Canis lupus familiaris: one gene and its partners. The protein of the gene in region 2 interacts with the protein of the main gene of each other region in a pairwise test. Links are inferred from orthologs where the notes say so. Each region holds a gene or a part of one and is shown on either strand. Other genes may lie near its edges. The genes, in order: SHC1, INSR and MAD2L1.

Region 1 (2,947 bases), on a different chromosome or scaffold from region 2:
AGGGAGGGGAGGCCGGGAAGGAAAGAGCAGGACACAAGGGGAGGAACCCAGGGAGTAGGAAGACAGAGATGCAGAGTGGAGAGAGAAGCACTCACTCATATCAAAGAGATCTCGGGGCACGCTGCCATTGATGGCAGGATTGGGGGGCCCAGCCCCACCCCCTGCTTGCCGGGCCCTGTCTAGGTTCTGGACATTGACGTAGGATGGATCATCAAAGAGCTCTTTACCTGATAAGGAAACAGAGGCATCACCGTGACCCCAGCCCTGCCTCCACACCCCTGACTCTGCCCTTCCCAGCTCCCTTCACACCTGGGCAGGGTGGTGGAGGTGGCATCTGTTTGCGAATTTCTGGGTCTCCCCCAACAGGCTGCCCCACAGGCTGCAGAAACAAAAATGAAATGAGACCAGAAGCCCAAATTGGCCACTCCCATCCCAGGCCCAGCCCACCTCCATCCAAATAACTTACCAGCGTTGCTCCCAGGTGGCTGGGGGTCTGGACAACGTGTGGGGTGGGCCGAACAGCCCCCAGGGGGGCTGCTTCCCGAAGCCTCATGTCCACCACTCCCCCAAGAGGGGGCTCCTTCCCCGGGAAGTCATTATAGTACTGGTGGTCAGGTGGCTCTTCCTCCTCCTCATCCCAAGCTGAGCCGTCAAAACCAGCCATCCTGAGAGGGACAGGAGGGAACAAGGGGGCACAGACAGTGGCCATGGACTGGGTACTTCCTGCAGGGTGGGCCTGAGTCTGGGCGTTTCCTACACACAGGCATTCTATCCCCCTGGCAGCCCTGCAAGGTATCTATACCCCCTTCTCCAGTGATACAGGTGAGATGAGGAGCAGAGGTGGAGACGTTTGCTTATTGTTTCACAATTAAACGGTGGCAGACCTGAATGGTAACATCAGATTTGATTTAAAGTTCATGTTCTCAGTTATTATGCTATCTCCCAAGAGGAAGGGGAAGCACACAGTAGAAAGAAGGGATGCACTCCAGAATATTTTAACCTCCTCTAAATACTCAGTAGCTACTGATCTAAGGTGGGAAAGAAAGGTCGAGATCTCAGGAAAAAAGACACCCTCCCTCACCCAAATTCCTGATGGCTCTATGGGCAAGAAAGTGAAAAAATAAGGACGGAGAAATGGTCAAGAAAGAGAGACAGGCCAGCAGTGAGGTGGCTGAGGACAGAAGGGCAGAGCAGCAGCACGGTGGCCTGGCATACGAGAGGAAGAGCGGGCCTGCAGAAGCAGGCAGGACCTGGCCAGACTTTCCTGACGGCCACAGGAAACGTAAGAATAGCAGGAAGTGGGAAACAGGCACACAGGTTATTTCCCCCTGACCCTCTCTGAGCTCAAGCGTGGGCAGTGGAGCAGACCTGCTTTCTCAGTTCCAGCTAGTGCCTAGGAGCTGCCCATACCCTGCGCACCCGCTCACCTGTCATGAGGGGTGACCAGCTTGGGCGGGTTCCTGAGGTATTGTTTGAAGCGCAACTCGAAGGCCTGGCCGATGGTGCTGATGACATCCTGAGCAAGCCCTTCGGGACATTCCAGGATATGACAGGCTGGGGGCACAGTAAAGGCAGTCAGTGAGTTCTGGTGGACTGCTGGGAGGAGGCGCGGTCAGGGGCCTCATCTTCCCAGCCGAAGCCCTACTTAGCTACCCAGGTCCTGCTCACCTGCCTCACGGACAGCCGGCCCCACCCAGCGCTCCCCACCACGCCTCACCTCTCTGATTCACCGGGTCTTTGGCAACATAGGCGACGTACTCAGCTGTGTCCTGGGGTGGGCAGGGTCAGAAGAAGCCACTTAGCTCCAGTTTCCAGCCCACCTCATTCCTGACCCCTACACATCCTGGTCCTTTCCAGACACCACTTGGACCCCAGCACACCCTCTTTCCAGACAGCATGGCCCCTACTCCTCCCCCACCTCCACCCTGTTCCCCAACTCACCGGGTCCCCACCGGACGCAAAGGAGATAGACTGCATGTGGTGGTTGGCGATGATCTGAGGGTTAGGGCAGGGTACAGAGAAGGAAGGGAATAACACAGGTCAGGCAGCCTTGGGGCCTTCCTGGGCACCCCCAGCCCGGGCCCGGAGCCCTGGAGTGTCAGTCCCACCCTTTTGGCTTCTTAGCCCAGGTCCTCCTATGCTCCTCCTTCCTTCCTGTCTTAGCTCCTGGCCCTGTGGCCAGGTCCCCGCTCCGCTCTCCCAGCAGTGTTTCTGGCCCCCTTGCCCAACCCCACCAACCTGTTTGCAGTCTGCGGCCATAAGGTTGAGGCTGCTGGTGGAGACGGTGAGAGTGATTGGCATTCCCGCAAATTTCAGATTACTCCTCCCCAGGATGGCACTGAGTGGGCGGCTACAGGGCTAGGGAAGGGCCCAGAGTCTCAGAAGTTGGGGGCTCCCCACACCACGAATCCCCCTCCCTCCGCCTTTTGGCCTTCCCCCCACAGGTCCCAGACTTATCTTCCCCCTGCTCCTCCACATTTCCCAGCAGTGCCCCCAGCCCCATCAGCCCCAGGTACCTTTCTCCTTCTTGTAGCCCCCTTGGCACCGGGCACAGCCTCACACACCAGACTGATGGCCTCCCTGGAGAGAAAGGGGTCCTCAGACCCACAGCCTGCCTCCCACTCAGCTGGGGCTGCCACAGGGCAGGGGGAGGGGAAGACCAGGCCAGACTTCAGGGGCACTCCAGGCTCTTTGTCATGGTGGATTGAATTAAAGGCCTTTAATATTTGATGACACGGAGAGGCCACTTCCTGGCTGATTGGGTTAGGGCCTCTGTGAGTCTGGCCCCACCTACTTCCAGCGACCAAATGTCCCATTCCATCCCAAAGGCAGCAGCAATCTTCCATCCACCCCATTTTATACTCAGGCTCCAGCTGCCAGCTGCCTCTGCCACCTCTCCCACCATACACAGGACTGGATAAATAAGAAGGTCCCAGACCAGAGAGGT
Region 2 (3,651 bases):
AAAAGAAAATTTATGGACCCCTGCCCTAGGGCCTACTTCATTTCCCTGGTCCTGAAACTACAGGCAGCTGCTCATGGCTAGGAAAGGACTTTCAAGAAGCAACATTTAGAAATAACTGCTCAGAGTTTCTAAATAACTCTGCTTCATACTTTTTCCTATGAGGTCCCCTTCCAAACGAGTTTTCTAAATTAACAGTCTTATTCTTTGGGGGATGAAGCCTCCAAATGGTCTTTCCCCCTGAATTTTCCAGGAGGGGAAACTTTTTTCTTAAGAAACATTGATAAAGGACATTATATGCAAACAATCTCGTAGAACCAAAACATGAAGAAAATTTAGTTTGCACTCAACTCTCCTACAGATCTCACCTCTTGCCTTTTCTATCTGGAGACATTTGGAAACAATAGATGCACACTTTTTACACTTAACATTTTAACATAGGCTTATCCACCAAGTTGTAAAATATTTTTATAAGCATCATTTAAAATTTCAATTGCTACATCATTTTAATTTATAAATTTACTTGGCAGTTCTCCTGTTGCTGGGTATTTAGATCACTTCAATCTTTTTGAGACTTTAAATAATATTGCTCTAGGGGCACCTGGTGGCTCAGCCAGTTAAGTGTCTGCCTTCAGCTCAGGTTGTGATCTCAGGGTCCTGGGATCGAGCCCCATGTCGGGCTCCCTATTTGGCAGGGAGTCTGCTTCTCCCTCTGCCTCTGATCATGTGTTCTCGCTCTCTCAAATAAATAAATACAATTTTAAAATAACATTGCTCTGAGCAGCTATTAACAACAGGGGGATAAGAAGGATTATCTAGCCAAACCACTGCCAGCACAGAGTATTAAAGCTCTCTTTTCTTTTGTTCTTCCTTCCCTTTTTTTGCTAATTTAGGAAGATAGTATTTTCCTTCATTTTACTTTATGTTTATCAGACTATTAGTAAGACTGGACAAGTCTGGAAGTGTTTAATGGCCTGTTTGTGTGTCTTGGTCCTATAACAAAAAAAATTGTTTTTTCTATGACTAAAATTTACAACAAAAATTGGGGGAGTGGGGAGATAGGTAACACATCTCCCTGACCAAAAAATAATTCTAATGTTTATGCTTATGATTTTTTTTCCCAATTCTGTTGAGATATAATTGATATGTCAGATTATATTAATTCCCTGACAAAATGTAAAGTATATAAAGGATCGACAGTTAAGCAGAAATATCCCACCCCAGCCACCCAGTTGCCTTCTCCCGTGGTAACCACTGCTGTGGGGTTTCTTTATAGCCTTCCACAGACATGATATGCAAGACAGCACACGTGTAAAGATGTGACGTGCATATATGTAGTATGATGTGCAAAAAAGTGTCCATGCGAAGACACAACATGCTAACACCAGCTCACGTGTAGACGTAAGACACACAAACCAAAGGGTGATGCCTTTTTGATGAAGAGCCCGCGCACTGCACTCTTTCTACACTTACACTCTCTCTGGACAATTGTCGGGTTGATCCAGATACCCTCCGTCCATGACAAATTTCAACACCTGTTCATTAGACAGGCCTTGGTAAGGCTGCTCTGCCAAGCTGGTGATTTCCCAAAGGACCACGCCAAAGGACCTGCCAACGACAGTTGAAAGTAGTAACAAAAAAGCCATTAGAGCACACGCACACACACACACACACACAAACACATGCCCCCTTTCTTGGTTTCCTAGAACGCGGTTGGCCAGTTAATTAAACAATTCATGCTGCATTCAGAAATGCCTATATTAGTGTCAATCGGATCACAAGTAGCCGTGCAAGGGTCCTCAGACAGGACATCCCCTTCACTTCCCGGATCAAGAGCCTATGAGGAAGGAAGGCGGGTTTTAACTGGCCCCCTCTTGCCGGTCACACTGGTGGGAGGACCTGGTATTCAAGCCCAGCATTCTGTCCGCCAATCCATGCACAACTCACCACATGTCAGAAGAAGTGGTAAAGACCCCGTCCTTCAGGGACTCCGGTGCCATCCACCGCACGGGGAGCAGACCCTTGCCTCCTTTCCGATAGTAATCCGTCTCATAGATGTCTCTGGTCATCCCAAAGTCTGACAACAAATGATTCACATGGTCTTAACCCTTAGCCTACAGTCCAGGTGTCTCCATATTTACTGCCCCATGCCTTGGAGAACCTTCAGATGGGCTCACCTGCCCCAGGTGTATGCTCACCTAGGTGGCGGTCAAGTCCAGTGAGAATGGATTCTGAGGGTACTCATGGGGAAATAGAGGGAGAGAGTGGACCACCAGGTAAGGGGAAGGATAAGGAAGCACCAAGTGGCCAAGAAGCAACATTCTGGCCCACAGCCTGGGAATCCCATTCTCAGCAATACTTCCTTCCCACCCATGACCTTGCAGTTATCCCAAACCGAAGTTTTGGGTCTCTGCAGCCAACATGCTCTTCTCTGCTAGGTATGGGCCCCCCACCACCCAGATGCCCAGCTTAAAACCCAGGATTGGGTCCCCTTTTGACCTCTCTCCTCATACCCACATCTACAACAGCAGCGCGTCCTACCCACTCTTCTTCCACATCCTGCTCTAATCCAACTCTTCCTCTCCATCACTCCAGCCCCGCCCCAGGCTCACTGCCAGTTTCACCTGCAGGACCTTCCCCCCATCCTGACCCGGACAGTCCACTGCACAAGAGAAGCTACAGGATCATACTATTTCTTGTTTCCCATGGCTAAGGGAAGAGGTCTTTGGGGATTATAAGGAGGATGCCACCACTTCTGGCTTCCCTTGCTGATAATGTCGTTTTGGGGTCATAAATAGGATCACATCACTTCTAGCTTCCTACTGGCTCCTTGGGATGATACCTCGGTGACTAATTGACTAATAAGGCCCTTCCAGGTCTGCCTCCTGCCTCTCTCCCTAACCTCACATCTCATTCTGGTCTGTTCTCCTCCACGTTCCTCTAAATTCACCCCACATCAACCATCCTTCTGGCCTCAGGCCTTGGCATATGCTGGAGTGCCCCCTGGCATGCTGTCATTCAGGTCAACTCATCCTACAAGTTTTGGCCCAAAGCCTGCCTCCCTGCAGAGAGAGGTGTCTCCTCTCTACGAAGGAACTCTGTGTTCCCTTCAGGACTCCTTTCCCAGCCTTCCTTATCTTGTTTATACAAGCTCTATGTTACTGTTCACCCTTGAATGGCCCTGTCCAGTGGAACGTTCTGTGATGATGATGAACACGGTCTACATTTACATGGCCCGATATGGCAGCCAGCAGGCTCAAGGTGGCGACTGAGCGCTTGAAATGTGGCCAGTGCAGCCAAGGAACACATTTCCAATTCTATTTAATTTAAGTTACCTTAAATGTAAATGGCCACAGGTGGCCAGGGGCTACCCAGGGGCTGGGGGATGCAGATAAAGAGCACCTCCTGCATGAGGGCAGGAAAATCGTGGCGACTTATCCATCGCCAGTCACATCTATGGGCTCCTAGAGTGGTGGCTTCCACTGACGGGGAACACAGTTATGCAGAGCAGTAAACACGCACGCCCACGTGCAAATGCAATTAAACTACAGTGTGAGGACCAGGGGCCCGCTCTGCACTACTGGAAAAAGCTGAGCTGCTTGGGTCAGACAACCCCTTCCGAAATCGAACCTGGCCTGGGCCACATGCTTCAAA
Region 3 (3,667 bases), on a different chromosome or scaffold from region 2:
TTGTGGGCCACCTAGGTCTCTTGTGTAGTCTTTTAAAAACTAGCTTTTAAAAATCTGAAAATATTCTTAGTTTGCAGGTAGTACAAAAATAGGCCACTTGCTGGATATGGGCGGTCAGTCTTGCTGACCCCTTGACAAAAATCAGCTTTTTCTCAATTTTGCTCTGAAAAGGAAGAGATTGGGTAGTCACTTAAAGATCTGGGGTGTGTGGAAATTTTTTTCTTTTAAAACTGAAGACAGATGAAACCAATGAAAATATCTCAAAACAAAGAAGTCAGAAATACCAGAGAAGAACTAGGGTAAAGTCCTTAGGAAGGCTAGAGTGATGGGGATTCAAAGAGATCGAACAATTTGCCTCTAAGAAGAGCAATTCCTCCATTCTAACTAAAAGGGACAAATTAAATCGGAAGGTTTAATTCACATACAACTCACATACAACTGAGGTGAAATGTCATCAGTGTAGTCTTAAAGGAGACAACCTAAAATCAGTAGCTTAGGCAGGGCTTGCTTCTTCATCAAATTAAGGTGACATAGATTCTTAGTTACTTCTATGTTTCAGGCTAAGTAATCTGAGTATAGCCCTGGGTGATTTAGCCCTGAAGATGATAAAAATATGATTAATAGAATTTAAAAAATAAAGCCCCTTGAAACAGAAAATATATATATGACTCAGGAATTAAAAAAAAATTACTGTAATTTTTTTGGGAACTAGTTTTGGAAGGTCAAATGAGGAGCCAGGGAGAAACATCCTATAACACAGAAAAATTAGAAGTGAGAATCCTAAGTAGAGAAAAAGATGGGGGGAAAAAAAGAATAGATGGAGAACAAGTATTCATTCAACAAGTATTCAGTAATTTCTTGAGCTAAGAAAAAACAGTGAGTGTTCAGATAGAAATGGCTAACTTACAGGCAGGATTTTAACAAAGACAATTGAAGACAGTAAGACATTAAAAAACTTTATTGGGTACTCTATTAGTAGTATTTTTTTTTTTTTTTAAGTTTAGTTCCCAGGCTGGATTCAATTTCATTTTATCTTAAAATAATGATGGTTTTAAACTCTAGGCAGCTATAGAAAATATATCATGTTAAAAATATATAGTGGATTTCTCTCCAATAATAAACATCATCATAGTTATGTAAAATTCCAACTTGTTCCACCTGGCTACACGAACTGCAAAAATCACTTCAAAGGGAGTTGATAGAGATTGTTTTGTGAAGCCAGATCAGATTTCTAACATCAAAGTATTTAGCCCACTCAAAATGTGGTAGGGAAGAGTGGACTTTCTTTCAACTTATTATTTGCTTCCTTCCGATTGAGAATCACTGTATTTGAAATTGCAGTGTTTTACACCTCTTTGTATAGCGCTGAAAAATGAACACCAAGATGCCAGAAAGTACGGGTCCAAGAAAGCCTGCAAAACTCAAAATGGTTTTCAACAATTAAATACCTTTCAGTTGTTCCACTACATTATTTAGGTATTTCATGAGCTCAGGATCAGTTGTTACAAGCAAGGTGAGTCCGTATTTCTGCACTCTGGTAAAGGTTTCAGATGGATATATGCCACGCTGATATAAAATGCTGTTGATGCCAAATGCTGAAAACAAAAGGAATGTTAAAGTCATTTTCACTTTGCAACTCTGGAAAATAAAACCTATTTAGATGTGGCTGCGGTTTCATTCCTGGTATCAAACTGAAAAAGCCTAAACGTGCATTTGTGGGTGTCTTGCTGAAAGCAGAGTAAGTGAAAAGTGCCACTGAAAATCCTTAAAAATGTTGCTTCTAAGTAAAAAGAACACGATACCTGCGTTTATGCGGAACTAAAAATGCCAAACTGCATTAACCTAGTGTCAAAGTAGAACTACAAGCTCACGGTAATGCAAGCCCCAATTCAGGTTATGTGATCACAGGGTGTCGAAATAGGCTTTTGCGTCTGGATTAGCAACTGATTAACCGGTCCAATGTTCCAAAGCAAGCCTCTCCCTCACTTTTCCCTCCTCTTCTCCTACCAGATTCCATCAGAGGGTACAAACATGGCCTGGTCCAGGACAGAGTTTCCTAAATCTAGTCCATCGCCGTCAGTACCGGGGTCAAAGCTTGGTGGAAGGGCTATTCAAGATATACTGGGGCCCCACCCCGCTCGGGGTGGGCGTAGGCGTGGGGCTGGGGCCGGGCTGGGAAGCGTGTCGGATCCGCCGTTTAAAGCAAGGCTGCTGGGATCCCTGGTGGCGCAGCGGTTTAGCGCCTGCCTTTGGCCCAGGGCGCGATCCTGGAGACCCGGGATCGAATCCCACGTCGGGCTCCCGGTCCACATCGGGCTCCCGGTGCATGGAGCCTGCTTCTCCTTCTGCCTGTGTTTCTGCCTCTCTCTCTCTCTCTCTATCATAAATTAATTAATTAATTAATTAAAAAAATTTAAAAAAAAATAAAGCAAGGCTGCTGGTGGAGGGGCCGCAGCGCCAGGCGGGCCTCGGCAGCACCTGGGCTTCCTGCTCCACCAGGAGCGAGGCGCCCGGGGGTGGCGCCTGCATCCGCCTCCTCCTAGATTAGATTCTCCAGCCCGGCGGGCGCTGGAGCAAAGAGAGCCGACCCCGACCCCCGCCTCCGTGGCCGGGCCGGGCCTCCAGGGCGGCCTGGCCTCAGCTCTCCCCGCCCTCTGGCCTGCGCAAGGGGGACTTACAGAAGAACTCGGCCACGATTTCGGCGCTCCCGCGCAGGGTGATGCCTTGCTCCCGGGAGAGCTGCAGCGCCATGGCCAGGCCTAGGGACGAGGGAGCGCGCTGCTGCCCGGCGGACGGCGACGCCACAGCCTCCAACGGAAGTTCCCCGCCAGTCGTTTCAAAAGTAACGACGCAGCACGCCAGGGGCCCTCCGCGCAGGCGCGACGAGCCTCCCGGCAGGCCCAGCGCCAGTCTCCTCGCTCGCGGGAGGGGCGCCTCGCGCAGGCGCAGTGGGTAGGCGTGGTCAGGCACTTCCGGGTTGTCGGGCACGGAAGGGTCCCTACCGAGCACCTGTAATTGTGGTCGCCGGGTCGCAGCTGAGGCGAGACGACCGCAAAACCTGGCTTTGACGCCCGCTCCCGAGGCCTGCGGAGTGAGCAGCCCAGGATCCCGGTTCGTCAGTTTCAAAGCTATTTTCAGAGTGATGTGAACGCGCCAGTTGCATCTTAACGTGGCCCAGGGACCCCGCCCACTCCCTAGTGGGCGATTGAAACTTGCTTAGATACTCTGGGAGTCAGTCAAGAAACCGCGTGCGTGGCGGTCCAGCCACAGCTTGAGAAGGCCTGGTGACTGTGTGCGGGCGCAGCTGTTAAGGAACTGGGGGGCAGACCCGGTGGCTCGGCGGTTTGGCGCCGCCTTCTGCCAGGGCGTGATCCTGGAGACCCGGGATCAAGTCCCACGTCGGGCTCCCTGCGTGGAGCCTGCTTCTCCCTCTGCCTGTGTCTCTGCCTCTCTCTCTCTCTCTCTCTCTCCTCTCTGTGTATTCTCATGAATAAATTAATAAAATCTTACACACACACAAAAAAAAGAAATTGGGGGGGGCGGCCCTGGTGGCCCAGCAGTTGAGCGCTGCCTTCAGCCCGGGTGTGACCCTGGAGACCAGGGATGGAGTCCCTCCAGCCCTAATCCCTAAAGCCTAAACCCTAACCCTAACTCTAAATCCTGGACC

The links.
Region 1: the proteins of INSR (region 2) and SHC1 interact in a two-hybrid assay, tested with the Homo sapiens proteins (2 studies listed by BioGRID and IntAct). The link is inferred for Canis lupus familiaris from reciprocal best matches to the Homo sapiens genes INSR and SHC1.
Region 3: the proteins of INSR (region 2) and MAD2L1 interact in binary tests that used the Homo sapiens proteins (3 or more experiments, as listed by UniProt). The link is inferred for Canis lupus familiaris from reciprocal best matches to the Homo sapiens genes INSR and MAD2L1.

The regions. Positions count from the first base shown.
Region 1 is NC_049228.1:42,491,545-42,494,491, reverse strand, and holds part of SHC1 (SHC-transforming protein 1), read right to left. Parts: intron 2,581-2,947; coding exon 2,517-2,580; intron 2,359-2,516; coding exon 2,239-2,358; intron 1,996-2,238; coding exon 1,942-1,995; intron 1,770-1,941; coding exon 1,718-1,769; intron 1,555-1,717; coding exon 1,428-1,554; intron 666-1,427; coding exon 467-665; intron 380-466; coding exon 310-379; intron 228-309; coding exon 96-227; intron 1-95. UniProt on the Homo sapiens protein: Signaling adapter that couples activated growth factor receptors to signaling pathways. Participates in a signaling cascade initiated by activated KIT and KITLG/SCF.
Region 2 is NC_049241.1:52,431,245-52,434,895, forward strand, and holds part of INSR (insulin receptor), read right to left. Parts: intron 2,075-3,651; coding exon 1,945-2,074; intron 1,606-1,944; coding exon 1,471-1,605; intron 1-1,470. UniProt on the Homo sapiens protein: Receptor tyrosine kinase which mediates the pleiotropic actions of insulin.
Region 3 is NC_049239.1:56,411,358-56,415,024, reverse strand, and holds the start of MAD2L1 (mitotic spindle assembly checkpoint protein MAD2A), read right to left. Parts: upstream 2,872-3,667; 5' UTR 2,752-2,871; coding exon 2,679-2,751; intron 1,596-2,678; coding exon 1,449-1,595; intron 1-1,448. UniProt on the Homo sapiens protein: Component of the spindle-assembly checkpoint that prevents the onset of anaphase until all chromosomes are properly aligned at the metaphase plate.